Linked DNA regions of Ovis aries. The protein of the gene in region 2 purifies or fractionates together with the protein of the main gene of each other region. This does not show direct contact. Links are inferred from orthologs where the notes say so. Each region holds a gene or a part of one and is shown on either strand. Other genes may lie near its edges. The genes, in order: PRPF8, SF3B3, SF3B6, SNRPB2, U2AF2, CCDC97 and SMC1A.

Evidence for each region.
Region 1: the proteins of SF3B3 (region 2) and PRPF8 fractionate together in Homo sapiens (co-fractionation; 4 studies listed by BioGRID, with this or other methods). This does not show direct contact. The link is inferred for Ovis aries from reciprocal best matches to the Homo sapiens genes SF3B3 and PRPF8.
Region 3: the proteins of SF3B3 (region 2) and SF3B6 fractionate together in Homo sapiens (co-fractionation; 5 studies listed by BioGRID and IntAct, with this or other methods). This does not show direct contact. The link is inferred for Ovis aries from reciprocal best matches to the Homo sapiens genes SF3B3 and SF3B6.
Region 4: the proteins of SF3B3 (region 2) and SNRPB2 purify together in Homo sapiens (affinity purification with mass spectrometry; 4 studies listed by BioGRID and IntAct, with this or other methods). This does not show direct contact. The link is inferred for Ovis aries from reciprocal best matches to the Homo sapiens genes SF3B3 and SNRPB2.
Region 5: the proteins of SF3B3 (region 2) and U2AF2 purify together in Homo sapiens (affinity purification with mass spectrometry; 4 studies listed by BioGRID and IntAct, with this or other methods). This does not show direct contact. The link is inferred for Ovis aries from reciprocal best matches to the Homo sapiens genes SF3B3 and U2AF2.
Region 6: the proteins of SF3B3 (region 2) and CCDC97 purify together in Homo sapiens (affinity purification with mass spectrometry; 3 studies listed by BioGRID and IntAct, counting the BioPlex papers as one, with this or other methods). This does not show direct contact. The link is inferred for Ovis aries from reciprocal best matches to the Homo sapiens genes SF3B3 and CCDC97.
Region 7: the proteins of SF3B3 (region 2) and SMC1A fractionate together in Homo sapiens (co-fractionation; 3 studies listed by BioGRID, with this or other methods). This does not show direct contact. The link is inferred for Ovis aries from reciprocal best matches to the Homo sapiens genes SF3B3 and SMC1A.

The regions. Positions count from the first base shown.
Region 1 is NC_056064.1:22,665,142-22,669,205, reverse strand, and holds part of PRPF8 (pre-mRNA-processing-splicing factor 8), read left to right. Parts: coding exon 1-195; intron 196-324; coding exon 325-488; intron 489-917; coding exon 918-1,044; intron 1,045-1,145; coding exon 1,146-1,338; intron 1,339-1,609; coding exon 1,610-1,797; intron 1,798-1,950; coding exon 1,951-2,189; intron 2,190-2,404; coding exon 2,405-2,551; intron 2,552-2,713; coding exon 2,714-2,924; intron 2,925-3,114; coding exon 3,115-3,231; intron 3,232-4,064. UniProt on the Homo sapiens protein: Plays a role in pre-mRNA splicing as core component of precatalytic, catalytic and postcatalytic spliceosomal complexes, both of the predominant U2-type spliceosome and the minor U12-type spliceosome.
Region 2 is NC_056067.1:1,105,404-1,109,467, reverse strand, and holds part of SF3B3 (splicing factor 3B subunit 3), read left to right. Parts: intron 1-292; coding exon 293-434; intron 435-2,494; coding exon 2,495-2,607; intron 2,608-3,709; exon of another isoform or gene 3,710-3,800; intron 3,801-4,050; coding exon 4,051-4,064. UniProt on the Homo sapiens protein: Component of the 17S U2 SnRNP complex of the spliceosome, a large ribonucleoprotein complex that removes introns from transcribed pre-mRNAs.
Region 3 is NC_056056.1:31,744,015-31,747,443, reverse strand, and holds part of SF3B6 (splicing factor 3B subunit 6), read left to right. Parts: intron 1-470; coding exon 471-589; intron 590-3,429.
Region 4 is NC_056066.1:10,386,915-10,391,636, forward strand, and holds the start of SNRPB2 (U2 small nuclear ribonucleoprotein B''), read left to right. Parts: upstream 1-1,459; 5' UTR 1,460-3,897; intron 3,898-4,687; 5' UTR 4,688-4,713; coding exon 4,714-4,722. UniProt on the Homo sapiens protein: Involved in pre-mRNA splicing as component of the spliceosome. Associated with sn-RNP U2, where it contributes to the binding of stem loop IV of U2 snRNA.
Region 5 is NC_056067.1:62,669,548-62,674,193, reverse strand, and holds the start of U2AF2 (splicing factor U2AF 65 kDa subunit), read left to right. Parts: upstream 1-1,463; 5' UTR 1,464-1,572; coding exon 1,573-1,621; intron 1,622-4,646. UniProt on the Homo sapiens protein: Plays a role in pre-mRNA splicing and 3'-end processing. By recruiting PRPF19 and the PRP19C/Prp19 complex/NTC/Nineteen complex to the RNA polymerase II C-terminal domain (CTD), and thereby pre-mRNA, may couple transcription to splicing.
Region 6 is NC_056067.1:50,031,182-50,035,731, forward strand, and holds the start of CCDC97 (coiled-coil domain-containing protein 97), read left to right. Parts: upstream 1-1,502; 5' UTR 1,503-1,569; coding exon 1,570-1,609; intron 1,610-4,550. UniProt on the Homo sapiens protein: May play a role pre-mRNA splicing through the association with the splicing factor SF3B complex which is involved in branch-site recognition.
Region 7 is NC_056080.1:51,281,401-51,285,464, forward strand, and holds part of SMC1A (structural maintenance of chromosomes protein 1A), read right to left. Parts: intron 4,061-4,064; coding exon 3,920-4,060; intron 1,998-3,919; coding exon 1,915-1,997; intron 1,761-1,914; coding exon 1,553-1,760; intron 389-1,552; coding exon 203-388; intron 110-202; coding exon 1-109. UniProt on the Homo sapiens protein: Involved in chromosome cohesion during cell cycle and in DNA repair. Central component of cohesin complex. The cohesin complex is required for the cohesion of sister chromatids after DNA replication.

The DNA.
Region 1 (4,064 bases), on a different chromosome or scaffold from region 2:
CCAACACCGATAGAGAATATGATTCTTCGGTATGTGAAGGCCAAGGCTGACTGGTGGACCAACACCGCCCACTACAACCGAGAACGCATCCGCCGCGGGGCCACTGTAGACAAGACCGTGTGCAAAAAGAACCTGGGCCGCCTGACTCGGCTCTACCTGAAGGCCGAGCAGGAGCGGCAGCACAACTACCTAAAGGTTGGATGGAATAGGCTGGGCTAGGGGCACGGAGGGCGAGTAGGAGGGCAGACTGCAGAGTTGGGACCGTGCCTGGCCCTGGTGGGATGAGGCTGCAGTGGGAAGCTGACTCTCATATCCACCTTGCAGGATGGTCCATACATCACAGCAGAGGAAGCGGTGGCAGTGTATACCACAACTGTGCATTGGCTGGAAAGCCGTAGATTCTCGCCCATCCCCTTCCCCCCGCTCTCCTATAAGCATGACACCAAGTTGCTGATCTTGGCTTTGGAGCGGCTCAAGGAAGCTTACAGGTGAGGAGTAGAGTCGACAGGTCCCTGTAGGGAGGTGATGGACACAGAGTGGCATCATTTTTAGAGTCCACAGAAGGCCTTTCTGGGGATGGCTTCCTCTTGGTTTTCCCATTCACACTGTTTAAATTTATTTTTTGCCTGCACTGGGTCTTCATTGTTGCCCTTGGGCCTTCTCTTGTTGCAGCAAACAGGGGCTACTCTACTTGCAGTGTGTGGGTTTCTCATTGCAGTGGTTTCTTTTGTGGAGCATGGGCTCTGGAGCTTGGGCTCAGAAGTTAACAGTGCATGGGTTTAGTTACCCCCACGGCATGTGAAATATTCCTGGCCAGGCCAGGGATTGAACCCATGTCCCCTGCTTTGGCAGGTGGATTCCTAATCACTGGACCAGCAGGGAAGTGCCCTCATTCACCTTTTCTTTTGCCTTGTCAGTGTGAAGTCTCGGTTAAACCAGTCTCAGAGGGAGGAGCTAGGTCTGATCGAGCAGGCCTATGACAACCCCCATGAGGCGCTGTCCCGCATCAAGCGTCACCTCCTCACACAGAGAGCCTTTAAAGAAGTGAGTGAGATGCCCCACACGTTTTCTTTTGGCTGTGTGATTCATTCATGGCACCCAGGGTGTTTGGTGGGTTGGTGTGAGCCAGCTTCCTTGTCCCACAGGTGGGCATTGAGTTCATGGACCTCTATAGCCACTTGGTGCCAGTGTATGATGTGGAGCCGCTGGAGAAGATCACTGATGCCTACCTGGACCAGTACCTATGGTACGAAGCTGACAAGCGCCGCCTGTTCCCACCCTGGATCAAGCCTGCAGACACAGAACCACCTCCTCTGCTTGTTTACAAGTGGTGCCAAGGTAAAACTTTTCTGGGGTTGCCTCTAAGGAAGGCAGATACCTTAATTTCTACATTGAAATTCTCATCCAGATAGCATAATTAGTTTACTTTCTTGATGCCTGGTACCAAAGAAATGGTGTTGATGTTACACTGAGTGATTTGACTCTGCTAGCTAGCAATCCAATGAATGGAGTGGTCTTAAGATCTGGATAGGAATGTGACGGCTCTGTAGGCTCTAGTCCTGAAAGGGAACTTCTAACCTGCCAGAGCTTTGTGTTTCTTCCCCCCCAGGCATCAATAACCTGCAGGATGTGTGGGAGACAAGCGAGGGTGAGTGCAATGTCATGCTGGAGTCACGATTTGAGAAGATGTATGAGAAGATTGACTTGACCTTGCTCAATAGGCTGCTGCGTCTCATCGTTGACCACAACATAGCTGACTACATGACAGCCAAGAACAACGTCGTTATCAATTACAAGGTGTGTCTTGGGTCAGGGTGGCAAGGAATTGGGGGAAGCGGGAGGTGGTCGGGCCCACTGAGTTGGGATTTCCGTGGCGAGGGGAAGGCAGAAGAGGATGGGCCCTGAAAACCCTGGGATTTGGCTGTGGTTAAGAATTGTCTTTCTTTCTAGGACATGAACCATACAAATTCATATGGGATCATCAGAGGCCTGCAGTTTGCCTCTTTCATCGTACAATACTATGGCCTGGTGATGGACTTGCTTGTGTTGGGATTGCACCGAGCCAGTGAGATGGCCGGGCCACCTCAAATGCCAAATGATTTCCTCAGTTTCCAAGACATAGCCACCGAGGCTGCCCACCCCATCCGTCTCTTCTGCAGATACATTGATCGCATCCATATATTCTTCAGGTGAGTGCTTGCCTGGAGTCTTATTGTGTTGAGGTCCTTGCCCAGCTTCTGAAGCAGCTATTGTACTTTAGTTGACTTGCTGCTGGGTTGGCGCTCTGAAATGGGATGAAGTCCTGTGAGTAGGGTGGGAATTGGGAGTGGCCTCCACCTGTGGAGCCATAGGCCTCATGAGATCCAGTGTCCTTGGGCCTCAGCCACGCACCTTGTCTCTGTAGGTTCACAGCGGATGAGGCTCGGGACCTTATCCAGCGTTACCTGACAGAGCACCCTGACCCCAACAACGAAAACATCGTTGGCTACAATAACAAGAAGTGCTGGCCCCGAGACGCCCGCATGCGCCTAATGAAGCATGATGTCAACCTGTGAGTCTAAGCCTGAGGGACCCAGAGGATGATTAAAGGGACTTGATCAGGCGGTGTCCTGGGTGGGAGGGCGTGTTCTGTCAGGACGTCATCAGTCTAGCTGGCCTTTGAAGGGAAGCTCCTTCCAAGAGACCTATGTGACCCTGTGTTCTCTGTGGGCAGGGGTCGGGCAGTGTTCTGGGACATCAAGAACCGTCTGCCACGCTCAGTGACTACAGTTCAGTGGGAGAACAGCTTCGTATCCGTGTACAGTAAGGACAACCCCAACCTGCTGTTCAACATGTGTGGTTTTGAGTGCCGCATCCTGCCTAAGTGCCGCACCAGCTATGAGGAGTTCACCCACAAGGACGGGGTCTGGAACCTACAGAACGAGGTACAGTCTCAGGTGGGGCCGGGGGCAGGAGTAGGCCCAGCTGCATCCTCACAGGTGTGGGGTGAAAGGCGCAGCACACTTTCCATTGTCAGCTGGGCCTTCCTGGGAGCCTAGGGCTTAGTGGTGGTCAGAGTTGTTTCTTGTTCCCCTGGCATTTCCAGAGGTGGTTAACCTTGAGCTTGTGATGTAGGTGACTAAAGAGCGGACAGCTCAGTGTTTCCTGCGTGTGGATGATGAGTCAATGCAGCGCTTCCACAACCGCGTGCGCCAAATCCTGATGGCCTCTGGCTCCACCACCTTCACGAAGGTACGCACAGTAGTCGTGGCCTCTGTCCAGCTCATCCCTTCGGTCCTTCCCTGCTTTATTGTTCTTCTTTCCCAGCTGTGTTCAGAGTACAGTCTCCATGCTTCATGGTACAGCAGCTTAGAGTGTCAGATCAATTTACAGTGGTTTCCTGAGAATTCCCTGTAGGAATTCTATAGCCTACATCCGTGTAGTTGCGATGCTTCTAAGTTGAGAGTAGAAGTGGGATTTTTAAATTTGAAGGCTTGAAAAAAAAAAAAAAATTTGAAGGCTTGTTATCCAGGTCATACATTTAATCTTTTGACCTTTAATATAGCATGCATGTTAAAAAGCAAGTATAACAAGGTATCTTTGTTTATTTCCTCTTCAGTTGCTTCCAAAGCCCCCCACTCCACCCCTTTGGAAGGCAGCTGGAATTGAGAAAGAGTAATCTGAAGATTACTTAACTGTGTGGGCTTATGTTTTATCAAGGTTTAAAAAGTCGCCTTGCTCTTTCTGCTGTTTTCCCGTTCTAGAAATGGTGCACGTGAATGTCCTGGCTGTTGCTCTCAAGAGCATCAGTTATACCAAAAAGAAAGGGAAGTCTAGGTTCTTATCAGGTTGTATTTCAAAGTCATTGTCCAGTTTCTAGCTGTGGTGACGAGGCAGCATGATACTGGTGAGTTTGAAATCACTAGTGATCACAAAGCAGGCAAAACTGTGAACTTTACGGGCAGATTAAACAACTGTCGTGAGGTGATCAGCCCCAGATTTGCTGTGCAACTCAAAGATCTAGAAAAGTGGCGGTATATTCTGTTCTTGCCCCATCAGTTTGGATTCATTGTGCTGACAACTCA
Region 2 (4,064 bases):
GGGTTCTTGCACCCGTTCTGCCATTTTTTAGTGTGAATTTTGGCAAAGCATTTGGCATCTGTGGACCACTATTTCCTGGTTTGTGAAATGGAAGACTCTTAATGGCCTTTTCAGCTTTATTCGTTTATTTGAATAATTCTTACTGGAGTATAGTTGATTTGTAATGTTGTATTGGTTTCAGGTGTACAGCAAAGTGAATCAGTTACACACATACATGCATCCACTCTTTTACTTTCAGCTTTGAAAGTTTGACTTTATGGTACTGATTAGTCTTTGTGCCACTGTTACCTAGGAAGCAGACAATGATCCAACTGGGGAAGCAGCAGCTAATACCCAGCAGACGCTTACTTTCTATGAATTAGACCTTGGTTTAAATCACGTAGTCCGAAAATACAGTGAGCCTTTGGAGGAACATGGAAACTTCCTAATTACAGGTACTTTTTTCTTCCATCTGCTTTGTACCATTTTGCTTGGTACATTTTATGCCCAAACTTAGGAGTGTTTACTTAATAGGATTTGGAAGCTATAATCTATTCATAGTAAACCTGAGTGCCTTGTCTGTGTTTTGGGGATGTTAGAAATTCATGTGGTGGTTAACTCTTACCCTCTAATGGGATAGAGAAAGAAAGAGCAGTCGGCTTGGAATATTGATTTCTGGTGGCTGCTCTGGTGTTTTGACTGTAGTCAATCTTTCACTCTCATTACAAAAATCAAAATCTGGCTCTGTGAAAAGGCATGTTGTGGATGAAACAAGATAAAACTGTCCTTCAGTTTGAAAGCCTAGATGAAATAGAAATATTTTTGAAAACTGTCACCAAAATTGATAGAAGATGAAATTAAGAACCTGAATAGACCAACATTTGTTTAAAAAATTGGGGCAATAATCAAAAATTTCTTTTCCTCAGAAGATTTAAGGTCCAGAATTTTTAGGGACCTTAAGTTTCTTGAGCGATCAGAAAAAGAATAAAAACCTATGTACCACTTTAAGAGCTTAGTATAACTTCATACCAAAACTGGGGAAGGACAGTAATAAGAAATATTTACAGCCTAGTTATCCTTTGATGGTAGATGCAGAAATCTTAAATTTTAGCAAATCATATTCAACAGTGTTTTATATGCGTCATAGCAAAGTATGATTTTTGTAGGAGCTCAAAGAGGTTCACCATGAAGAATCAATATTAGTTTAATTCATTATATTAAAAGACTAAAGGACAACTATATTTGTGATGTCTAAATTGTATCAGGCTCATCTAAGATGGTGATCCAGTCCTTTCTGTTTTGAGTCATTTGCATTTGATGTCTAAAATGAAGTATGTCTGTTGTTGGATAGGATTTTGGAGAAGAAAAATATAAAATAGCAGTTGTCTTTGAGTGTTAAATCTTAGGAAGAGACTATAAAGCAGAAGCATTTTAAAAAATAGATTATGTTAATTACTTGTTATTATGTATTATGATACTTCTCATTTACAAGGGTTTCATTCATTAAACAAATGTTTACTGAACCTCTGTGATCACTACGTGCAAAGTCAATCTGCTGGCCCCTGGGACTGCGTGGTGAAAAAGTTGTTGTGGTGTCTCCTTATATACAAGATTGAGTATAATGGTGAATACATACTAGTAACACAAAAATTACCAGAGTGTGCCACATGCCGTGACAGCATGGAGGAGGGGTTCCTAACCAGAAAAGGAAGGCAGTGCATTAGAGAAAGCTTTCAGAAGTGCTCTTAGCCGAGGACTAAGGAATAGTTAGGAGTTAGGGGCCATGAGGGTGGAGGAGGAGTTTCTGTTGTGGGCAGAGGAAATAGAATGCACAAAAGCCCAAATGCAGGGAAAAAACATGGTTCATTGAAAACTGAAAGCTCATTGTGGTTGGATCATTGGAGGTGAAGAGCTGGGGTGGAGGAAGCAGAAGAATAATGACCTATTAAAGGTGAATGTTTTAGAAAGATCACATGATTACATTTTGGTAATGGAATGGAAGGTGGTAAGGTCAGGAAGCATTTCCATTAAACCAAAAGAGGTTTGCAGCATGAGGACTGCTGAAGAGGTAGAACCAGTGTGGGAGAGGAGAGAATTGAAGGGTTACATCCTTTTTGCTGCAGAAAGGATGGTTTGGTCGATTGGTTGATGACAGTGTTCTCTAAGGTTGAGAACCCAGGAAATGGTTTGGTAAGGAACTTGGCAGTGGTTTGTGAATGCGTTCATTTTTAACCTGCTATGGAATATCCATGTAAGAGTGTCCATCAGGCAGTTGGATTATAGGTCCGAAGCTGAGAACTGAGTTCTGGGCTTGGAGCTAAACTTTTAGATGCCTTACTAGATATCTGGACAGGCTGAGATCACCCAAATGGTGTTCCATCCTTGTCTAGTGTAACTCTCAGGGAAAAGAAACACGTTGAATGTTTAGCCCCTTCAGGCACCTTTAAGTTGTGCTGAAGGAGAGAAGGAATTGAAGGTTAAATTCATAGTACTAGTTATTGTTTTCTCATGACAGTTCCAGGGGGATCAGATGGTCCAAGTGGAGTGCTAATCTGCTCCGAAAACTACATTACCTATAAGAACTTCGGTGACCAACCGGATATCCGCTGTCCAATTCCCAGGAGACGGGTAGGTCTTTGTTACCATAAGAGAATATATTTATGTTGTGAAATGAACTTAATTTTTGTTAAGTGTTTTTAGTAAAGTCAGTAAGTATTTTAGCACAACAAAACAAAATCTGAGAAAGAAAATTGAAAATCAGCACAGTTCTGGGCTGTGCACCTAAAACTAGCATGATATTGTAAGTCAGTTGTGCTTCGGTTTTTAAAAAAGCAGATACAATTTTCATTCTTGAAGAACCTATGAACATTATCCATTTGCAATTCCTGAAAGTTTCTAGTTTGAAGAATCCAGGTGTATTCATTACAGGTAAATAGTCTTTCATTCTCCCCTACCCCACCCCATTCCAGCATAGACAAAATCTAAAAGGAGCAGACAGTGAATTCCTATAAACTTTTCACTTAGCTTCACTTACTAGTACTGCTCTGCTACATTGGCCTTTTCTTTGTTTTGTATCTGTGTTTTTTAGGCAAGACCATTTGAAGATAAGTTGTAGGGATCATTACACTTTACAACAGTTCCTTGTACTACCCCGTTTTTAAGAGATTTGGGTATCCGTGGATTTTGGTATCTGGGGCCTCGAGGCTCAGACTAATCCCTTGCAGGTGTTGAGGGATGATTATAATTAAGTTCTGTGTACCCAGCTTCAGTTATCAGCAGCACATGGGTAATCTTCATTGATCTCTGCTTCCTCAAACTCTTTTCACCCCAAATTAATTTTCTTTTTAATATTAATTTATAGGTCCTGGGGTTAAATCTTTTTAAGACATAGTTTATCTAGTACATGGTACTTGAGTAAGATTACATCAATTTTAGAAAATTTGGTAAGATTAGCAAGTTAAATTTTTGGAGTGGTGTTAAGTAATAAAGTTTAGTTATCAGAAATTTATTGAGCACCTGACTGCCAGGTGCTGTACTTGACTTTGGGACTACAAAGAAATATAAAACATGTTTTGCCTTTGAGAGAAATACAAAATGTTGGAAATACTTAAAAAGAAACAAAATCCAGTTGAGGGGGATGCCTTTTGGGATTTTGGCAAGTTGATAAAGACAGAAGAGGGATGGTGTTGGTGGTTTGGATAGTACTGTGAACGTGTAAGAGTCTTATTTACAGCCTGAAATGATGATTCTTTAAATTTCATGTCTCTTCTCTGACATTTTTCTCTGGAGATAGTTTTTGCCTTATTAATCTGATCAGGCTGTAGAGTGGAATTGTGGCTTTTTTTTTTTTTAACCTAAGCTTTATTATGTATTTATAGTAGACAAGAATTTCTGTTTATTGTGTTATATAATCCTCTGGTTGGCAAGCTGCTCTGGGTCACAGCTTGCATGGAGAGACTCCAGGTGCCTCTAGACATTTGGTGGCCTGTTTGATCCTTATTGGTAAGGTGCTGAATTCCAGAAAAGAAATCCTAATTTCTAAGATGTTGATCGTGTATTTGACTTTGCTAGAATGACCTGGATGA
Region 3 (3,429 bases), on a different chromosome or scaffold from region 2:
CTTTACCGTCTGAGCCACCAGGGAAGTCCTGGATTTTGTAATAGCCTCTTATTAGTTCCTACTAACAGCCCTCCCTTCCCTGGTGGCTCAGACAGTAAAGCGTCTGCCTGCGATGCAGGAGACCAGGGTTCAATCCCTGGGTCGGGAAGATCCCCTGGAGAAGGAAATGGCAACCCACTCCAGTATTCTTGCCTGGAAAATTCCATAGACTGAGGAGACCGGTAGGCTACAATCCATGGGATTGCAAAGAGTCGAACACGACTGAGCGATTTCACAACAGCCCTCCCTATAACCAGCGCCCAGTTGCTTTTCCCAAAAGCATGCCATTTTCATTAATGTCAGATTATAATTCTTATTCTTGGTGTATAAATTTATGTATCTTTTTTTTTAGAATGTGTTATGAGACAGTTTTTCAAATGGTAGCACTGTTGCCTCTGATTATAATGATAACCCATTATCTTTCATTTTAGATTCGACTTCCACCAGAAGTAAATCGGATTTTGTATATAAGAAATTTGCCTTACAAAATCACAGCTGAAGAAATGTATGATATATTTGGGAAATATGGACCTATTCGTCAAATCAGAGTGTGAGTCTTAGTGAAACTCTTGAAATGTCATTTAGAGAAATGATTGTGTAATTTATAACTCAGAATTAACAGCTGACAGAGGGCCTTACCAAGAGGCTAGAGACTAAGCCTAGAGACCCTCATGATCCAACTCAGTGAAAGCCAAGAATGGTAGTTGTGAAATTATAGAGAGCATGAAGTAGTAATGAGTGGTTTGAAGGCAACAGATGGGAAGAAAAAGAACTGACATTTTTTTATATACCTACTGTTTGTAAAGAAGTATTCTACTGTGGTTACTCTTAATTTTCTCAAGTCTTCACTGTCTCCTTTACTGACTCCAAAATTTCTGAGTAAGTTGTGTAAAGAAATATAAAAGTAACAGAAAAATGATTTTTTTGCAACTACACCTTTCTGTTGAAGATTTAGAAATATAGGGCAAAGTAATTATAAATCCATGTTTTAATTTAATCTAGAGATTGGGGCTTCAGATGATATCTATTGAACATCTTCTGTATGCCATTTGTCCTAATAGGTGCTTTTATTTGCATCACTGACACTACAACCCTGTGTGGAAGTGATAGGGTGTCTGTTTCACAGGTGAGACTACTAAAGCTCAGAGAGTAAAAGTATCAATACTTTTCTAGTTTCACCCAGCTCTTTAGTGATAAAATCTTGTGATTCTAAATTGAATCTCTGCATAGTACCACAGCTGCTGTCCTTTTAACTAGTATACATGAGCAAATTAACTAGGAGTCCATCTAAGAGGATTTCTAAAGATTTTATTTTCCATTGGAATTCTTTCATGACTTGAGAGTTCCTTCTTGGCTTTTAGAACTCTGTGAGATCTTGAGGATTCTCCTTTTCAGTGATCACTGTTCCTCCAAAAAGTAAACGAAGAGCTAGACATGTACCATCATTGGTACTCAAAACTGAGATGAAGTGTTATAAATCAATTGTCCTTTTAAGGAACTCTTTTTTTTCCAAATTTGATAAAAGCTTTGGGCCCTTTCTGCAGAATACACACAACATTTCACATGTGATTTCAGTGGGTACATGAGCTCTAGGTTAAGAACTCCTGCTTGAGACATACAAGAATGGTATACAGAAGATCCCTTGACTTGGTGTTCAGGAGACAAGATTCTGCTTCAGGATGAATCCTGTGACTCTAGACAAGTTGCCTGGCTTTTTCCTCACATAGAAGATAATCTGAATGGATAGTGCCTTTCAGCTTTTAACATGGAGGCAGTATGATAACCTAGGTTCGAATACCAACTGGGTACTTGCTAGTCATATGAAACAGCAAAATAGTTAACCTTCTGGAGTTTATCTATGATATAAAATCTTTCTAGAAGAATTTCCCAGAGGATCAAATTAGATAGTTCACACTTTGAGTATTTCCTTCCCAATGTGCATCAGCTACCCCGTCTCTGTGCTCCCATAGCTTGTTCTCTTAGTTGTCATATGGTTTTGCTGTTGACTGTGTGCCCACTTATGGCTCCTGCCAGCCTTTGGATTCCTCCAGGGCAGGTAACCATATATTCTTTCCACTTAGTTGACAACCCTTGTTGTGCCTGGCACATGTTGAGCACCCGGTGCCTGTAAGTAAATTAATAATATAGAAAGTGGCAGTGTATTTATAAAGGTATAACAAAATTTATTGATAGTATACAATTAAGAGATTAGTGGAGTTAAGTCAAGATAAAGATTGCAGAGTAGCTCAGGGCCTTAGAACTTTCAGTCCACTGTCTGGGGTGGATTTCCACCCAGCTCATCTCATTCCGGGCTCCTCATTCTTCAGGTCTCAGCTTTAATGCCAGAGTGGTTTTCCTAGACCACCGTAGCTAAAGTAACCCCTGTCTTCCCATTAATCTCTCATTAACTGCAACTGTTTTGTATTTATTTATATAATATCTTTCTCCTGCATGAAAAGAGCCCCTTGAAGGAAGGGATGATGCTCATCTTTTTCACTATTGGATTTCCAGCACCTGTCATGTAGAAAGAACGCTATCTATATTTGTTGAATAAATTCATAAAAGTTTGGTATGCAAGAACTTGGGTCTAAGTTATTGATTGAGGAACAGATGTTTCCTGTCCTGTAGCTGTGGGCATGCTCTGTGGCACCCAGCAGTAGGGTGAGTGGCCTTCTCAGTTTGCCCAGAGCCAAGGAGTTTTCTGGGACAGTAGACTTTCAGTGCCCAGACCTGGACAGTCTTGGACAAACCCGGCCGATTTGTCAGCTCACCTGGCATGTAGCAGACTCTCGGTGCTTTGAACTTTTTAAAGCTCTTTCATACTTGTTACATCTTTTGTTTATGAAAACCATGTGTGAGGTAGGATGTCACTATTTGACACATGAAACAGCTGAAGCTCAGAGAGGTTGTTCCATGAGTAGATCTCCTTATTTTTACTTTAAGCTTTTACCATTGATAAGAAAATAATGTTGGAGGAATTCCGTGGTGGTCCAGTGGTTAAGAGCCAAGCTCTCACTGCCGAGGGCCCAGATTCAGTCCCTGGTCAGGGAACTAAAATCCCATAAATTGTGTGGTGTGGCCAAAGGAAGAAAATACTGTTGACTCAGCACCTAACATATATTAATAGTAGGTACCAAGTATATGTTTTTAATTAAAATTACAATGCAGATTTCAAGATACTAAGTTGATAATTAGGGGCTGGGGCACTTGAGATGGAGCATCTTTAAAATGGGTTTAGTGCCTGTCCTGCTTCTACTTCCTAAGAAGATGTAAGAGGAAAAAGAGAGATGCTCTTGTTTTGTTAGCTTCCTGGAAAAAAAGATGTGTGTGAGAACTGATAGGAAAAAGTATATCTCCATCCTTCAGATGCTTATTAGCACTTGCTGTATG
Region 4 (4,722 bases), on a different chromosome or scaffold from region 2:
TAGAGCACAAGCTGGAATCAAGATTGTCAGGGGAAATATCAATAACCTCAGATATGCAGATGACACCACTCTTATGGATGAAAGCGAAGAACTAATGAGCCTCATGATGAAAGTCAAAGAGGAGAATAAAAAAGCTGGCTTAAAACTCAACATTCAGAAAATGAAGGACTTGGAATCCAGTACCATCATTTCATGGCAAACATTTGGAGGAACAATGGAAACAGTGAGAGACTATTTTCTTGGGCTCTAAAATCACTGCCTATGGTGACTGAAGCAGTGGAATTAAAAGACGCTTGCTCCTTGAAGAAAAGCTATGACCAACCTAGACAGGATATTAAAAGCAGAGACATTACTTTGCCAACAAAGGTCCATCTAGTCAAATTATGGTTTTTTCAGTAGTCACATATGGATGCGAGGGTTGGACCATAAAGAAGGCTGAGCACTGAAGAATTGATGCTTTTGAACTGTGTTGTTGGAGAAGACACTTGAAAGTCCCCTGGACTGCAAGGAGATCCAACCAGTCAATCTTAAAGGGCATCAATCCTGAATATCCATTGGAAGGACTGATGCTGAAGCTGAAGTTCCAATACAGTGGTCACCTGATGTGAAGTACTGATTCATTAGGAAAGACCCTGATGCTGGGAAAGATTGAAGGCAGGAGGAGAAGGGGATGACAGAGGATGAGATGGTTGGATGGCATCACCAACTCAATGGACATGAGTTTGAGCAAGCTCCAGGAGATGCTGCAGGACAGGGAAGGCTGGTGTGCTGCAGTCCATGGGGCTGCAAAGAGTCGGACACGACTGAGTGGCTTAACAACAAAAAGGCTACTGTGAGTGTTCTGAGCACCTTTGTGATAGGTCTGGATTAAATGTGTGATGCTGGGTAAGTTAGGTGTTATTACATGTGTTCTCAGTTGCATCTTACAGTGCTTTCAACTTACTGATGTGTTTGTCCTGTCTAGTCGTGTCCAACTGGACCATCCCATGGAGTGCAGGCCACCATGCTCCTCTGTCCACGGGATTTCACAGGCAAGAATACCGGGGTGGGTTGTCATGCCCTCTCCTCCAGGGAATCTTCCCAACCCAGGGATCGAACCCAGGTTTCCCGCATTGCAGGCTGATTCTTTACCGTCTGAACCACTAGGGAAGCCCACAGATGTGTTTATCAGGATGTTCTAGGTTAAACAGCGCTAACTCATGGTGACGGAACTGATCACCGTCTGTCCTTATACTCTTACTGCGCTCCCCCAGAATTCGAGTTAAACCCACAGAATTCCCCCAGGCCTATTTCCCTTACCGCGTTTCCCCTTCACACCTGTTCTCCCCATCCACCAGGTGTGCGCATGCTCAGAGCGATTACTTACTGTGGTCTAGACCGACGGACATCGATCCACTCTGGGCTCGGCTTCTTGACTGATCGGCTTTCGATTGAGGTGCGTGGTAGCGTCATTTCCGGTGGCTGGTTCCGCTTCCGGGTTCTGGCTTGTGGTTGTTACGGGACGTAGAGGACCTGTTCGGTGAGTTGGCGGGGTTTTTTTCTTCGCTCTCTCCTCTCTTCTGGCTGCGGGTTGCGGCTTAGGCAGACCTTCCCCTGCGGGAGCCGAGAATAAGCGGTCCGCTGCGCTGGGGCCGGAATATATGCAGCCGAGGGTGCGTGGTGGGTCGCCGAGGAAGGCCTGGAAACTGACGCTCGGGTCTGGCGAGGCCCCTGGACTTAGAGCTTGTCTTAGGCGGGACACTTTGGGGCCGGGCATGGCGTGGCCGCTTCCTGGGGCTTCGGGCGGAGCCCGTGGGCGGACGTCGCTGCGTCTGGAGAGCCGGCACCCTCGCGCGTGTGAAGTTACGGAAAACCTTCGCGTATGCGAGGCGATTACCGCGCGCCGTGCGTTCTCAGGGACCTCCCAGAGGCTCCCCTTTTGAATCCGGAAGGCGACTCCCTGCGCCCCTGCTCAGTTTGATCCCTGTCACTTCCTTCTCTTCATCGTCTTCGAGTCACCAATCCACCAAGATTCAGTTTAGGGGTCTCAAACCTCTGAGAGGCGTTCAGTTCAGTTCAGTCGCTCAGTCGTGTCCGACTCTTTGCGACTCCATGAATCGCAGCACGCCAGGCCTCCCTGTTCATCACCATCTCCCAGAGTTCACTCAGACTCACGTCCATCGAGTCCTTGATGCCATCCAGCCATCTCATTCTCGGTCGTCCCCTTCTCCTCCTGCCCCCTATCCCTCCCAGCATCAGAGTCTTTTCCAGTGAGTCAACTCGTCTCATGAGGTGGCCAAAGTACTGGAGTTTCAGCTTTAGCACCATTCCTTCCAAAGAAATCCCAGGGCTGATCTCCTTCAGAATGGACTGGTTGGATCTCCTTGCAGTCCAAGGGACTCTCAAGTGTCTTCTCCAACACCACAGTTCAAAAGCATCAATTCTTCGGCTCTCAGCCTTCTTCACAGTCCAACTCTCACATCCATACATGACCACTGGAAAAACCATAGCCTTGACTAGACGGACCTTAGTTGGCAAAGTAATGTCTCTGCTTTTGAATATGCTGTCTAGGTGGGTCATAACTTTTCTTCCAAGGAGTAAGTGTCTTGTAATTTCATGGCTGCAGTCACCATCTGCAGTGATTTTGGAGCCCCCAAAAATAAAGTCTGACACTGTTGCCACTGTTTCCCCATCTATTTGCCATGAAGTGATGGGACTGGATGCCATGATCTTCATTTTCTGAATGTTGAGCTTTAGGCCAACTTTTTCACTCTCCTCTTTCACTTTCATCAAGAGGCTTTTTAGTTCCTCTTCACTTTCTGCCATAAGGGTGGTGTCATCTGCATATCTGAGGTGATTGATATTTCTCCTGGCAATCTTGATTCCAGCTTGTGTTTCTTCCAGTCCAGCGTTTCTCATGATGTACTCTGCATAGAAGTTAAATAAGCAGGGTGACAATATACAGCCTTGACGTACTCCTTTTCCTATTTGGAACCAGTCTGTTGTTCCATGTCCAGTTCTAACCGTTGCTTCCTGACCTGCATACAGATTTCTCAACAGGCAGGTCAGGTGGTCTGGTATTCCCATCTCTTTCAGAATTTTCCACAGTTGATTGTGATCCACACAGTCAAAGGCTTTGGCATAGTCAATAAAGCAGAAATTGATGTTTTTCTGAAACTCTCTTGCTTTTTCCATGATCCAGTGGATGTTGGCAATTTGATCTCTGGTTCCTCTGCCTTTTCTAAAACCAGCTTGAACATCAGGGAGTTCATGGTTCACGTATTGCTGAAGCCTGGCTTGGAGAATTTTGAGCGTTATTTTACTAGCATGTGAGATCAGTGCAATTGTGCGGTAGTTGGAGCATTCTTTGGCATTGCCTTTCTTTGGGATTGCGTTACCTTTCACCTGTTAACCTACAGAACAGTCCTCATCTGTAGGCGTTTTGCTTGTCAGACATCCTACGCTATGCAAGTACTATGAGTGTAAATGTTTGTGAAATGAAGGTATATGTGGGTTATCAGGGAATAAAGCAAGGTCCCAGTTCGTGACTAAAGAGTGGGAAAAATGAAATAGTGTGGTGGGTGTGAAATAAAAGTGCAAGAGACAGAAAACGAGGGTTGAATTTTCAGGCCTCCTGCGTATCACCTATGTAACCGTGGGAAAGAACTTGCATTAACTTTTTGTTTCGTCGCCAAATCATGTTCCACTCTTTGCGACCCATGGACTGTATTCCGCCAGGCTCCTCTATCCATGGGATTTCCCAGGCAAGAATACTGGAGTGGGTTGCCATTTCCTTCAGGGGATCTGCGTGACCCATGGTTCGGGCCCGCGTCTCCTGCGTTGACAGGCCGATGCTTTACCACTGAGCCACCTGGGAATCTGTGCTTTATTCTGTGATAAACAGCAGTGACAGCTGTTGTAAGTGCTTACTGCTCATTCTAAAGCTGCAAAGAATTTTATCTCATTTAGTCTTCTGAGCTCTATTGGGCAAATCACCATCCCCATTTTACAGATATGAACCTGTGAAATTAAGGAACTTGCCATCAGTCAAGCAGCTAGTAAGAAGCATAGAAAGATTTGAATTCAAATCCACTGGCACTAGATCCTAAGTTTTTAACCATCATGCTGTACTATACCAGCGTTTCAAGTCGGTTCCATTTGACTTTGGAATCAGGACTGTTGGTGATGGTGTGTGTAAATTAAGCAATAATATGGAAGTGCTTTATGAGAGTACCCATGCAAGGATTCTTAGCCAATTTCATTAATGTTCTGTATCTTATGATTTTTACTGAACGTGCATTAGTTAGCTTGTTTTTTTCATTTTTCACCGAATCTATTCACTTTTTAAATATTGTTTAAAAGGAAAAGTTTCATTAGGCAAATGGATAAAAACAGTCTCACTTGTCATGGAAGAAATAGGTTATAAAAATAGAAGTATGGAATAAAGGAATATTATTAAAAATTGACTAGATAATGGTGCGGCACCAAGTTTTCAACCTGAGAACTGTTCTTTTCTTTAAAAAGGAGGGCTCGCAAGTTTTGGAGAGGTTTTAAAGACTACCCCCAAACTGATATTTTCAGTTTTCAAACTGACATTTGGGGCTGAAAGAATTGAAAAGTCAGTACCTTTGTTCTATGTCCTTAATGCCACCCTATGACGTGAACGAATCCTCCCTGTTTAGTAACAGAATATTTATTGTCTTTTTAGGCTATTGGAACAGTTTAACACAAAACATGGATATC
Region 5 (4,646 bases), about 62 Mb from region 2:
TGGGCAGGGGGTGGCCGTTGCCGCGGGGACGGGGGCTCTGGAGGATTCCGGAGCGTGGACCGTCAGGCGGGAGCCGGGGAACTGGGCGAGAAAGGGTGTAATTAGCTCCCGCAAAGGCAGGGGTGGGAGGGGAGGCAGTTGTGCCCTGGGGGCGGGGCAGCACTTCGGGGAAAGTGCGTGAGCACCACCCGCTGGGCTACTGGGACCAGAGGCGCGGCGGCAGGAGGGACTCCATGACCTCCGACGGAGGTGGCCTGCCGGGGCAGCCGGGAACCTCCGAGCTGAGGAGTCCGCCAGGAGGCGGTATCGCGAGATTATCCGTCTCCCGGAAGTGTCCTCCGCGGCGCCTGCGCGGCGGGGCGAGCGCGCTTGTGCGGTCGCCACGGCAACTAGTAAAGAGGCGGCGTAGCTTAACGGTTGGGAATGCAGTGCCCTCCCCGGGGTAAGGGGAAGACTCGCGCACGCGCGCTGAGGGCTCTGGAAGCAGGGGTGGGGGGGCCTTTCTGGAGCGGCTGAGAAACCTCGCCTCAGACCGACGTCTAACGCAGGCGCAGAAGCCCATCTCGCCCCCCCCGCCTCTTTCACCCTGCGCAGGCGCACAAAGCCGCGCTGGCAACCTCCGCAGCGGCCGCGCGCACCCTTTACCCCGCTGGCTGCTTTTGTCTCGCGCAGCCTTCTTAGGCTCTCCACAGGAGCGGCCCTTCTTTTCCTCCCCTTTCCCCACCCGGAGAGTCAGGTGCCGAGAGCTGGGACGCTGCCCTTCTCCGTTTCCTCTCCCCTGACCCACCTCGCCTCTGTCCTCCCTCCCTTTTCGGTTCCCGGAGCCGGAAGGAGCCGAAGCACTGACGGAAAAAGCCGAAGCTGTCACCCGTGAGTGGGGGGTCTTCCCGAAGTGGTGGCGGAAGGAGCCGAAGTTCTCCGGGAGGGGAGGAGGGTGCCACTGGAATCTCCGGAAGGAACCGAAGTTTGGAAACAGCTAGATCTCTGACTGGGTCCGAAGGCGAGCGCCGGAAACCTTCGGAAAGTGCCGACTCCGGGACGGTTAGGACTGTCGGAAGTAGCCGATTCGCTTGGACTGGGCCGGCGGAGAAGAGCGGGGAGAATCAGCGCAAGCAGTCAAAGGGACGGTTTGAATTTTCAGAAGAAGCCGGATTCTTAGAGGGGGCTGGGTACAGAGGAACGCAAGGAACTCCGAAAACATCCGAACGTGGAAGAGCTAATATCCGAAAAGTTACGAAAACTTGGGAGAGTCCGCGAAACCCTCACTTCGGGTGTTTTCGGAAGCAGCCGTAGTCACCGCTCCGGACGCTTTCCTCTACGGTCCGGAAATAGCCGACGCGTTTCGGCGCCAGACCCTGGGGGGAGGGGCACCTCGCGGGCGCGCAGGCGGTGAGGGGCGGAGCCGGGGCGGGGCGGGGCGGGCAGCCAGGCCTTGATTAGGTAGGAGGCGGCGGAGCGCCGGCGGCGGCCGGAAGTAGCCGAAGCTAGCGGCGGAAGTAGCCGAAGCGGCCGGAGCGGGCGCGCGGCAAGGCGAAGCGAAAGCTGCACAGCGCCCTACGCGGCCGCCTCAGCATGTCGGACTTCGACGAGTTCGAGCGGCAGCTCAACGAGAATAAGCAAGGTGAGAGTGCCGGGGGAGAGGGGCAGCGGGCGGGGCGGTTCTTGGCTTCCCTCCGTGTCCCCCGCCATTTTTCCCGTCGCTTCCCCCTCTTCTTAGGGCCGCGCGGCGCACCCCCCCTCCCGTCCCGCGGCGCGCGCCTCGCTCACGTGACCGCCCGGCGTGCCACGCGCGGCGGGGAGGGGGCGGCGGGCGCCGACCCGGACGCATGCGCACCGCGCTCCGCTCCGCGCCTAGAGTGGTCGCGTTGGAGGCGGCGCTGGCGCAGCGGGCTCGCCTGGTGTCACCTCACGGATTTATGCGTTTTTTAATCTGGAAAGGGGATTGTATAGATGAGTCCAGCAACTCCTTTTCGCCCGACGCCCTGGCACTTCCGCTTCCGGCTGGTTAGGCCTGGTTCTCCACGCCCCCTTTGTTCCAAAATGGCGGTTGTGGGTCCCCCTTCACGTGGGCGCTGGCAGTGCCGCGTGGGGAGCACCTCTCACCCCGGCGCCTTTGCCCTTCTTCCTGCTCACCGGCCGCCGGGACCCCGCGGGCTGCTAGGGTTGGCGGCGGTGGAAGAGGCCGCATTGTCCGTGCTCTGTGCCCCTCCCGCACCCCTGCACCCCTTCTTGGGGCCCTGGCTCCCCCGGCGGTCGCAGTGCGGAGTGTTTGTCTGTCATCGCTCCCCACGGCCTGCATGATCGCGCCAGCCTCCTAAATCTCAGCGTGGAGCGGATTCTTGGGCACTGAGCGAGGAGAGGGCTCGTTTCACTTCAGAGGGTGGGAAGCTCGTCCCCCTCGGGAGACGGCGAGTCCAAGCACGGGGCTGTGATTAGTTTGGGGACTCCAAGAACGTTAGCGCTGGGAGAGTTGTAGGACAGTTAGCAGATTTCCTTGCCGCCTTAATCCGGTTTGAGAGTGAACAAATTTGGGTCGAGGGAAGGTGGCGGGCTTGAGGCTTACTCTGCTTGTGTCTGGAACGCTGAGTGAGGGGCGCTGGGATTCACCTTTCGGCCCAGCCTGAAGTTGGGGAGGGGGTGGCTGGATCAGTAGACTGTGCCTGGGGAAGCGTACCTACCCACAGGTTGTCTGTCCCATACGTGATGCACTGCTTAACAGCACGGGCTTTGGAGGGGAGCAGACGATGAGTAGCACCTGATGAGTGCCTGAGTATTTGTGGGCCTATTTTTTTCTCACGTAGGTCGCTGGTGTTTTTTTTGGTCGCTAACAGATGATAGTGATAATAGTTAAGTTTACAGCACCCACCACAGTGTGTCACGCACGTTGCTAAGCTCTTCTGCAGTTTTCCTAAGAGGGTTCTTGTAACAGCTCCGCGAGGCTGAAGTGATTTCGTACCCTTCGCAGAGGTGGAAACAGACTCAAGAATAAAAGCTTTCCAGATTTCAGCTGATGAGAGGCAGAGCTGAGATTCAGCGGGCAACATGCCGACAGTGTGTGGCATGTGGCTTGGCCTCTTTAAAGTACCCAATAAGTGAACCTTTTCAACGGTGAAATCGTTCATAATGTGCGGGCTCACACGGAAATGTGGACGCGCGTTTCCAGCAGATGTACCCAAGCCGTACACCTGGGGGTGCCCAAGAGCCTCATTTAAATAACAGGAGAAAACAGGTTTAGAGGTTTGGTTGCTGTTGCACGGTTTTGTGCAGGAAGCTGAAACGGCCCCTGAGTCTGCGGGGCTGCGGAGTCGCGTCCTTCCAGGCTGGACAGCCAGAGCTGATGGAGCTGCCCTGGGGCCCTGACACCCGCGCTCTGGTCTCTGCCTGGGTGTCCCCTCTGCCCTGGGAGGCCAGGCCCTCAGCCTGGGCATGTCCCTGGGGTTGGTGAGTTGTTCCATAACGACGTGGCCGTGGCATTTAGAGCAGCCAGAGCTCCCCTTCTGTTCTGATGTGTGCTGGATCATTCTGTTTTTGTTTTTGTTTTTTTTTTTTCTGGGGTGGGGCAGGGGTTTCCCTTGCTTTATGGGGCAGCTTTGCCCACGTGCTGCTCTGCCCCTGAGTCTGTCTTGGCGGTCCTGCCTCCCCCAGGCCTCAGCCCCTGCGACCTGGGTTCCGTGTTTGTGTCCATGACACCCGGCGGGCACCAGTGCTTACTGTGTGACCACCTCTCTCTGGTTGTCTGTTTCTGAGCCTCAGCTGCAGGGAAGGGTGTCTCCCCGTCTTAGCAGTGGGGAGCCAGAGGCCCAGAACCGTTGTCCATCCCCTTCCCAGGACCAGGATGCTCCTCACACTGCTTGCCCGTTCCTCCTGGTGCCAGTCTTGGATATATTTTTCACGTTTAGTCTTTTCATCTTTGAGGAGGCAATTTCACCATCACCAGTGGTTCCAGCCAGGTCCTAATGGGTCTGCCTGTTTCGTGTTTAGAGGTATTGCCCCTGCCTAGCTGCCCTTGACCTTTCAGGGTTCATATTCAGGCTTCACCTGTATCCAGGCTTTTTGGCCAGGGCAAGTCACATGACCTCCCTAAGCCTCAATTTTCTCGTCTGTTGTGAGCGAGATTCCCGCTCCCAGCAAGTGTTTCCCCACAGTAACCCGGGGAGTAAAAGCAGCAGAGTCTGGTTTTAGACAGGATCTGAGTGTTTGCAACGAGGTTTTTTTCTTTTCTGGGTGCGTATGTAGCTTTAGTGTTAAAACTCATTTATAAAAGTTCGCGGGTAGTTGCTTCGGAAGAGCTTGAGAGTTGAAGCAGTACGCCCGAGGCTTTGACAGCCTGTCCTTACTGCCCCCGCCTCCTTGTAAAATGAACTGGAGTCTGAGGGCTGGTTGAGCATAGTGGAGGAACCAGTGGCCTCTTTGAACCGAGGGACTGGACTACAGACCGCGTGGGGCAGAAGCCGCGCGCCTCGGAGGGTGGCGGGCTGCTGGGCAAAGGAGGGGAGGTCGAAGGCCCCGGCTGTAGCGGCCGTGGGGCGGTCTGGACGAAGGGCCCACCCAGCTCCTGCGTCCTTGACGCGGGGGTGGTGGGCGGGGCCTCCCAGGAGGGCGGTCCGCTTGGGGGCGGGGCTGGACGGGTGGGTGCCCCCCCCCCC
Region 6 (4,550 bases), about 49 Mb from region 2:
GGGCCTCAGGGCCTCAGGCCCTCTAGCCTGGGAAGTCCCCCTGCTGCAAGCCCATGTGTTGGACAAGAGTGCCCTCTGCTGGCCTCTCTTGGCAACATCTAAGTGTGATCAGTCCCCACCTATTCCAAGCAGCAACTGGGGGGCAAATAGGAAGTTACTCCTCTGCGTTCAGCCATAATATCAGGGTTACTGCATCAGCCTCCTCACAGATCTCGCTGTCCTCCAGTCCATTACCCTGATGCCCTCACCCTCTTCTAGCTCTCCGCAGGATCAAGGAGCTCAAGCTACTTAATTCGGCTTACGTGGCCCACATACTTGGGCCTGGTGACCTCACTGGTTTTATCTTTTGCCACTCCCCTTTCAAACTTCAAATCACTAAGCTGTTTAGGGAGAGCCACAGATCCCTTTTAGGCTCTAAATGCCATGAACTTCTGCCTTGGAAACGCATGTGTATTTGGAACTTTGCATAGATCATGAGAGTCTCCGATCCTTGCAGTCTGGTCAGGGCCAAGTTTGAACTTTCCTACTTCTGGTGGCTCAGATGGAAGCGTCTGCCTGCAATGAGGGAGACCCAGGTTCAGTCTCTGGGTTGGGAAGATCCCCTGGAGAAGGAAATAGCAACTCACTCCAGCACTCTTGCCTACCAGGCTCCTCAGTCCATGGGGTCGCAAAAAGTCAGATATGACTGAGCGACTTTACTTTTCATTTCACTCCTTGACCATACTGAAGTCCTTGCAGCAAACAGAACTATGGATACCTGCCTTCCCTTCTAGGGCTTTGCCTTGCCCACTTCCTACATGAGACCCTTCTCTACCTCCCTCTTACCCTAATTCCTGCTCATCTTTCAGGTCTCAGGGTATCCTTCACTCCCAGAAAGAAACCTTCCTTGGGCCCTCCAGGCTGGGACGGACAGCTCCCTTAGCTGAACCTGTGGGTCCATCAGCCCTGTCCATTTGGTCAGTGGTTTGAATGCCAGTCCTTACCTACCACCTAGGGCAAATTAAGACCAAGGTCTTCTTTCCACACCTGCAGATTCTTCAGGTCCTGGAAACAAAGTGGGACGTTCAGTCTCTGATCTCACCACCAATCGTGCTAACCAGGGACTGGGTGTGATGACAGGCATGCTACAAGACTTAGCAAATATTCTTTGAGGTGGTGAAGAGAATAGACAGGTCTAAACCAGAGCCCAAGCACTCAGAGGTCATGAAGGGTGGTGATTCATCCATTCCCAAATGAAGCATGCTGGGCTCTGGGGTCAGTAGTGCACAGGTTGAACACTGCTTCCCTCCTGAAACCCCACAATTTCGTAGCGGTTCAGGTTGGCGGGGGTGGCCCGGAAGAGCCCATCTGGCCCTGGCGCGCTTTTCCTGCCCGGCTGGAGTGGGCGGGGTCGGGCAGCAGCACGCGTGCGCAGAGGAAGGGCCGCCTTCGTCCCGGAACTTTAGTTCTTGATGCCGTGGAGCACCCGGTCCCAGGAATGTACTCAGCCGGAAGTGGCCTCTAAAGACCTGCGTCAGGAATTGGTGTTAGGAGCTCGCCACGGCGGGTAACAAGTCGTAGACGGTCGGGATGGAGGCCGTAGTGACCGCGGCGAGGGAACCTGGTGAAGGTGAGGTCCTGGCCGCGCGGAGGCGGCAGGAGGGTGGGGCTGCAGTGTCACTGTGAAATGTTTCCCCTTGAAGGTGAAGGAGGACTGTATAAAAGAGGGCACCTGTCCTCGGCCTTACCTGTCCGCTTCACCGCTTTGTCCAGATTAACCCCTGTCTTGGCAGGCTGACCTCTTTTATCCCATCGCCTCCCCTGAAATTAACCTCTTCCAGTTCTTTCGGTGTCCCGGGCTAACCCGTTTCCTTACGAGGCTAACTCAGGCTAGCAAACCTGTCCCTGTCCTGGGCTAACTCTCGCATTATCTCAGCCAACCTTGCTTTCTCATGTTACCTCCTTCCCTTGACTCCTCCCCTCCCACGCAAACTCTTCTTTGCTAACGCCTCCCCACATTTCACTCTAATTCCCTTTCTCCGAAAGTCCACAGTCCCATCTGCTTACTCAGGGTCGTTAATCCATTTCTGTGCTCTCTTTTGCGTTTTCAATCTCTTTATTTCTCCTGATGCCTCTCCCATCAGTACCTAAAATGCTTTTGTTTTGCAAGTTTTAACCTAAAAAGCTATCCCTTGATTCCATGCCGCCTTCCAGATACCATTTAATCTTCTCCAAAGAGTCATTTACACTTGCCTCCTCTTTCCACCCACTGCTGTCTGGCTTTTACCTTCAGAAACTGCACTGATTAGGGTCCCCAGTGACCTCCCTGTGTAGTTGTGTGTTTTTTGTTTTTTTTTTTGTCTTAAGAAAGATTTATGTATGTATTTATTTATTTATGGCTGGGGTGGCTCTTTGTTGCTACATGCAGGCTTTCTCTAGTTGTGGAGAGCCAGGGGCTACTCTTTGTTGCGATGCACAGGCTTCTCACTGTGGTGGCTTCTCTTGTTGCAGAGCACAGGCTCAGTAGTCGTGATCTACGGGTTTATTTGCTCCAAGGCATGTGGGATCTTCCCGGACCAGGGATTGAACCGGTGTCCCTTGCATTGCAAGGTGGATTCTCAACCATTGTACCACCAAGGAAGCCCCACTCTGTAGTTAAACCACATGGCCCTGTTCAGGTTTTTTTTTTCTTATTAAACTACTTGGAGAATTTGATGCCATTGACCCCTCTGTCTTTACTGAATGTTTTTCTTTGGTTTCTGTGACACCATTCTTTCTGATTTCCTTCCTATCTCTCAGGCTCCTCCTGCTCAGCCAGCATTAGTTTCCCATGGCTGCTGTAGCAAATGACCACAAATTGAGTGGCTTAAAACAACAGAAATTTCTTCTCTCACAGTTCTGGAGGCCAGGAGTCTGAAATCAGTATCACTGAGTTGACATCAAGGTGTCAGCAGGGCTGAGGAGGCTCTAAGGAGAACCCATTCCTCAGCTCTCCTAGCTTCTGGTGGCTCCTTGCATTCCGTGGTTTGATCCCACATCACTCCAATCTCTGCTCTGTCTTCACCTTGCCTTCTCCTCTGGGTGCATCAGATCTCGCTATGACAGGACGCTTGTAATGGCATTTAGGGCCCACCAGGATAATCCAAAAGAATCCCCCTATTTCAAGGTCCATACCTTAATCACATCTGCAAAGACCTTCTGAGTTTTGGGGGGGGGTTTTGGCCATGTAAGGTTAACATTCACTGGTTCCAGGAATTAAGATGTGGCTATATTGGGGGGCCATTTTTAGCCTCTCACAGCCTCCTTCCCATCCAGTCATGGCTCTTTCTTAGTCCCTCCTCTCTTTTCATCCCTCACACACTCTCCTGTACCCTCCCTGTGACTTTTTTCCTTCAGCTCCACCGCTTTCCTTGTCTCTGATGACTTCTGTAACTGTCCCCAGAGCAGCACTTCTCTCCTGAGAAGTCTCCAGCCCCAGGTACCAGCAGTCTCATAAATGCCTTCCCTTGGGTGTCTCCTGGGCCTGTCATACCATCCATGTCCCAAATTGGTCTCAACATCTTCCCCCAAATGTGCTCCTCATCCATGCCTGTGTGTCAGGGACAGTTTGACCAGTTTACTGGCCAGAGGCCTGGACCTTAACTGAATGCCTTCCTCGCCTTCCAGCCCTTCAATCCCATGACTTGTCCTAGTCAGCCTCTCAAGCATCTTTTTAATCTATCCTCTCTTCCACAGCCCCTTACATGGTCCAGCCCAGTCTTCTCTTGCCTCAGTGATTAAAACGCTCCCTGAAGCCCATTGCACCATAATCACCACCCTCTTTCTCTTCCCCATCCCAGTCAAGCTACCTAGAGGAGTTGTCTATACTTCCCCTCTTCGCTTATTTCCTGCTTGCAGTAGCCTTGCTCCAGTTCCCGCCACTTTTGAGAAAACAGCTCTCACCAAGGCTTGCCCAGCCCTCAGCTTTTCTGTTTCCAGTGCCTGTACTGGCTTTGACCTTGTCTGTCTTCTCCCATCAGACCAGGTGCTCCCTGGGAGCTGATTTGGATCCCTCAGTGGGTCTTCAGCGTTGCCCAGCTCAGGGCCCAGCACAGATTTAGAGTTGCTGAAGAGTGGTTAGATGGATGTGTGTGAGTAGGAGAGAAGGATGGATGAGTGAGTGGAGTTAGTGAATGTATGGAAGATTTCATGAACAAGGGAAAAGGCAAAATAGAGTGAATCAGTGACTGAAGTGGTCAAGGATAAGGAAACACACCAAGCACACTTCTCTCTCGGGGCCTTTGCACTGGCTCTTTCCTCTGCCACTTCCCACAGAAATCTCATGGCTCAGTCCCTGATGGCCTCAGGTCTCTAACTGAAATGTCACTTTTTTGGCAAGACCTTCACTGACTGTCCACTTAAAACTGCAGCCTGACCCCCATACCCTCCTCCTTCTCTCTTTTTTTATTTTACTCTACAATACTGTATTGGTTTTGCCATACATCAACATGAATCTGCCATGGGTATACACGTGTTCCCAATCCTGAGCCCCCCTCCCACCTCCCTCCCCATACCATCTCTCTGGGTCATCC
Region 7 (4,064 bases), on a different chromosome or scaffold from region 2:
CACAAGCATACTGCAGGGCCTTTTTGATGTGAGGTGGCTCATAGCGAATCACATCAATCACCAGCTTTGCCCCCTTCAGCTCCCGGAGTTTCTCATCTGTAGGTTTTACCTATGAGAAAAAGCTTAGTTAAGTGGCTGAACATGGAGGGCTAGGAGGAGCAGCCCTCTCACACTGCCCTGACCCCATCACCACCAGCCTCACCTCCAGGTAATCAAGAGGCAAGAAGGTTTCAGGCTCCCCACGCTGCTCCTTGATATACTGAATGCAGTCCCGGCCTGTCTTCTCTGAGTCCACAATTATAGCATCCATGTTCTTGCCCAAAACCTTGGTTACTGCAATCTGATACTTCTTTTGTGTGGGCTGGCAGAGGTCAATGAGGCGGCCGTACTAAGGAAAGTCAGAAGAGTGAATGAAGCATGAAGTTTTTGAGAGCTGGCTCAGGAACCCTAACTCCTAGCTTAGAAGGGGGATAGCAGGTCAGAATCTCTATCAGGAGCACAGCTCCCAAACTATGGGGAAAAGGCCTACTCTGGACTTCCCTGGTGGCTCAGATGGTAAAGCGTCTGTCTACAAAGAGGGAGACCCGGGTTTGATCCCTGGGTTGGGAAGATCCCCTGGAGAAGGAAATGGCAATTCACTCCAGGACTATTGCCTGGAAAATCCCATGGACAGAGGAGCCTGGTAGGCTACAGTCCATGGGGTCGCAAAGAGTCGGACATGACTGAGCGACTTCACTTCACTGGCCCCAAAGCAACAACAACTTCAGGCAGTCATGTCTGAATCCAGAATCATCTTTCTAAACCTCACTTTTACCATTTCATAGACCACTGGCACCACAGGCATTATGCAACTTAATTTGGTTCCACAAATAAAGAGCACAATAAATGCAACGCGCTTGAATCATCCCACATTACATTTATTGTGCATTTTATTTCTATTATTATTACATCAGCTCCACCTCAGATCATCAGGCATTAGATCCTGGAGGTTGGGGACCCCTGATCTACGGAAATGATCAAGAAATATTTGTAGAACCCAATTAAGTTGAACCCAGGGATGGAATTACAGCAATAGAGGGATAATATTCAGGGAATCTGGAAACTCAGGATTTCATTCAAGAGGCCAAAAGAACCTAGTAAATGAGCTGACTGTTATATGCTTAAGGAGCTCACACTGAAGCCTGCACAAAGCTACTGATACATCCTGGGAACTAATTCCTGCCCTGCAGCCCCTTCCCTTTCCCAAAGGCCTCTTCACTTTCTCCACCTCCCATAAAGGAGTGGACACAAGCAAGACAAAACTTTCAGAAAGATACAACTGGTGCAATGAAAAGAACACAAGGTTAAGAGTAAGAACAAGTTGGATTTGAATTGCAGTTCTTATACATATAAGCTATGCTGTTTTGAGCAAGTCATTCAACCTCTCTGACCCTGTTTTCCCCAGGTGTAAAAATGGAATTAGCAATCTGTCCTCATGGGGCTGCTGGGAAAATTATCTGACAGTGAGTATGAAAGACAGTGGTCAGGAAATGAATTCCCTTTCGACTCTTACCACAGAACCAGGGTACAGGCGCTTGATGCTTTCCATAATTTCTGCCTTTCGCTGTTGGCGGCTGCTCTCTTGGCGGTCGATGCGGGCATCCCCCAGCTGCTCCATTACCTGGTTCAGCTCCTTATTAATCTCATCAATACGCCGCTTGGCCATCTCCACCTCCTCTGTCAGCTCCCCCTCTAGTTTCTTCTGCTCCTCTAGAGACTGCCTACAAAGTGAGGAAATACTGGGGTTACCCTGGCTGGCCAGAAAATATTCCTGGCCGAGAGGGATGATGAGGGTCCTTCCTGGGGAGGGGCAGGACAGGTAGGGTTCACAAGAACAGGCCTGGAGATAAGAGGGAATGTTACAAAGCCACATACTTGCTGGTTGTGATGTATTCCTCTAGTTTCTCAATCCGTTTCTGATTCTCTTCAATCTCCCGCAGCTTTTGCTTGATCTTGGCCTGGGAGAGAGACAAAAACACTACATCACCATAGGCTGAGCAAGTTAAGGCCAAGACCATAGAGTCCTGGCTCATCCCCCATATGCCTAATCATTCTAACAGCCTAACAATCACAGACAATCTGTCACTAGTATAAGAGGCCTATTAAAAATCGGATATAAACAGTGTTCAGTGTGCCTCTGCTAACTGATGGGGCCACCATGGGCCCTATGAGACCCTCTCATAGGTGTTCTACCCAGCCTGGAACATCTTCCTCACCAAGCAGGCAGGCTCAAACCAAGACAAAGTAAAGCTTTCTGGGCCTTTCTGCACTTCTGCTTTATCATCTATAAAATGCAGGTAACTTCCACTTCATAGAATACACATTAAGTGCTTAACATGTATTAGCCACTAATTCTGTGTGTGTGTGCACTCAATTGCTCAGTCATGTCCTACTCTTTGCGGCCCCATGGACTCTAGTGTACCAGGCTCCTGTTCATGGAATTTGCCAGGCAAGAATACTGGAATGCGTTGCCATTTCCTACTCCAGAGGATCTTTCCGACCCAGGGATTGAACGCTTATCTCCTGAATTGGCAGGTGGATTCTTTACTACTAGCATACCTGGGAAGCCCCTAGCTATTAATTAATGCCTAATACCTTCTTTTAAACATTTAAAACTGCTTAGCACAACGCCCGGAGAAGGCAATGGCAACCCACTCCAGCACTCTTGCCTGGAAAATCCCATGGACGGAGGAGCCTGGTGGGCTGCAGTCCATGGGGTCGCTAAGAGTTGGACACGACTGAATGACTTCACTTTCACTTTTCACTTTCATGCATTGGAGAAGGAAATGGCAACCCACTTCAGTATTCTTGCCTGGAGAATCCCAGGGACGGTGGAGCCTTGTGGGCTGCTGTCTATGGGGCCGCACACAGTCGGACATGACTGAAGTGACTTAGCAGCAGCAGCAGCAGCAGCACCACAATGCCTGGAACATTGTAGGCTCTTGGAATATTATAACAACTTTCCATCATTCCTATTATTTTACTATGATTGTTATTAGGAAGGTGGTAAGTGAAATATACTTGAAAGTGTGGGCTTCCGGGACTTCCCTGGTGGTCCAGTGGCTAGGACTCTATCCTTCTACTGCAGGGGGTGCAGATTCAACCCCTGGTCAGAGAACTAAGATTCCACATGCCACAAGGTGCAGCCAAAAAAAAACCAAAAAAGTGTGGGCTACACTGCCCAGGTTCATATCCCAGTTCTGCCAGTTAATAACCTTAGGCAGGGACCTCCCTGGTAGTCCCATGGTTAAGAATTCACCTGCCAATGCAGGGGACAGAGGTTTGATCCCTGGTCCAGAAGATCCCACATGCTGCAGAGCAAGTAAGCCTATGTTCCACAACTACTGAGCCAGCTTTCTGGAGCCCAAGAGCCACAGTTATTGAAGCCCGTGGGCCCGAGAGCCTGTGCGCCACAAAAAGAGAAGCCACTGCAATGAGAAGTCTGAGCACTGCAACTAGAGAAAGCCTGCAAGCAGCAACTAAAAACCAGGACAGCCAAAAACAAAACAGACAAATAAATAAATATTTTAAAAGATGACTGCATATATGTAAAAACAGTGCCTAGCACACAGTAAGAGCTTGCCTTTTGTTGTTTAGTCGCTATGTCCAACTCTTTTGAGATCCCATGGACTGTAGCCCGCCAGGCTCCTCTGTCCATGGAATTTCCCAGGCAAGAATACTAGAATGGGTTGCCATTTCCTTCTCCAGGAGAATGTTCCCAGGGACCAAACCTGTGTCTCCTGCATTGGCAGGCAGATTCTTTACCACTGAGCCACCAGAGAAGCCCCATGCTAGATGTTAACTATGGTCATTACTGTTAAGACTACTGTTACTTCCTTTTCTCTGGACCATCACCCCTAATCTTGTAAGGCATGCCCACCTCTGTCTCTACTTTCTTCCGTTCTTCCAGATCCAGCCGGTCCTGGTCAGCCTTCTGGTCTCGATTAAACTTCTCCAGCTCCTGGGCCAGGGTAGCTGCTCTCTTGCTGGCTTCTTCTTTCAACCGGTGATATTTCTTCACCTGT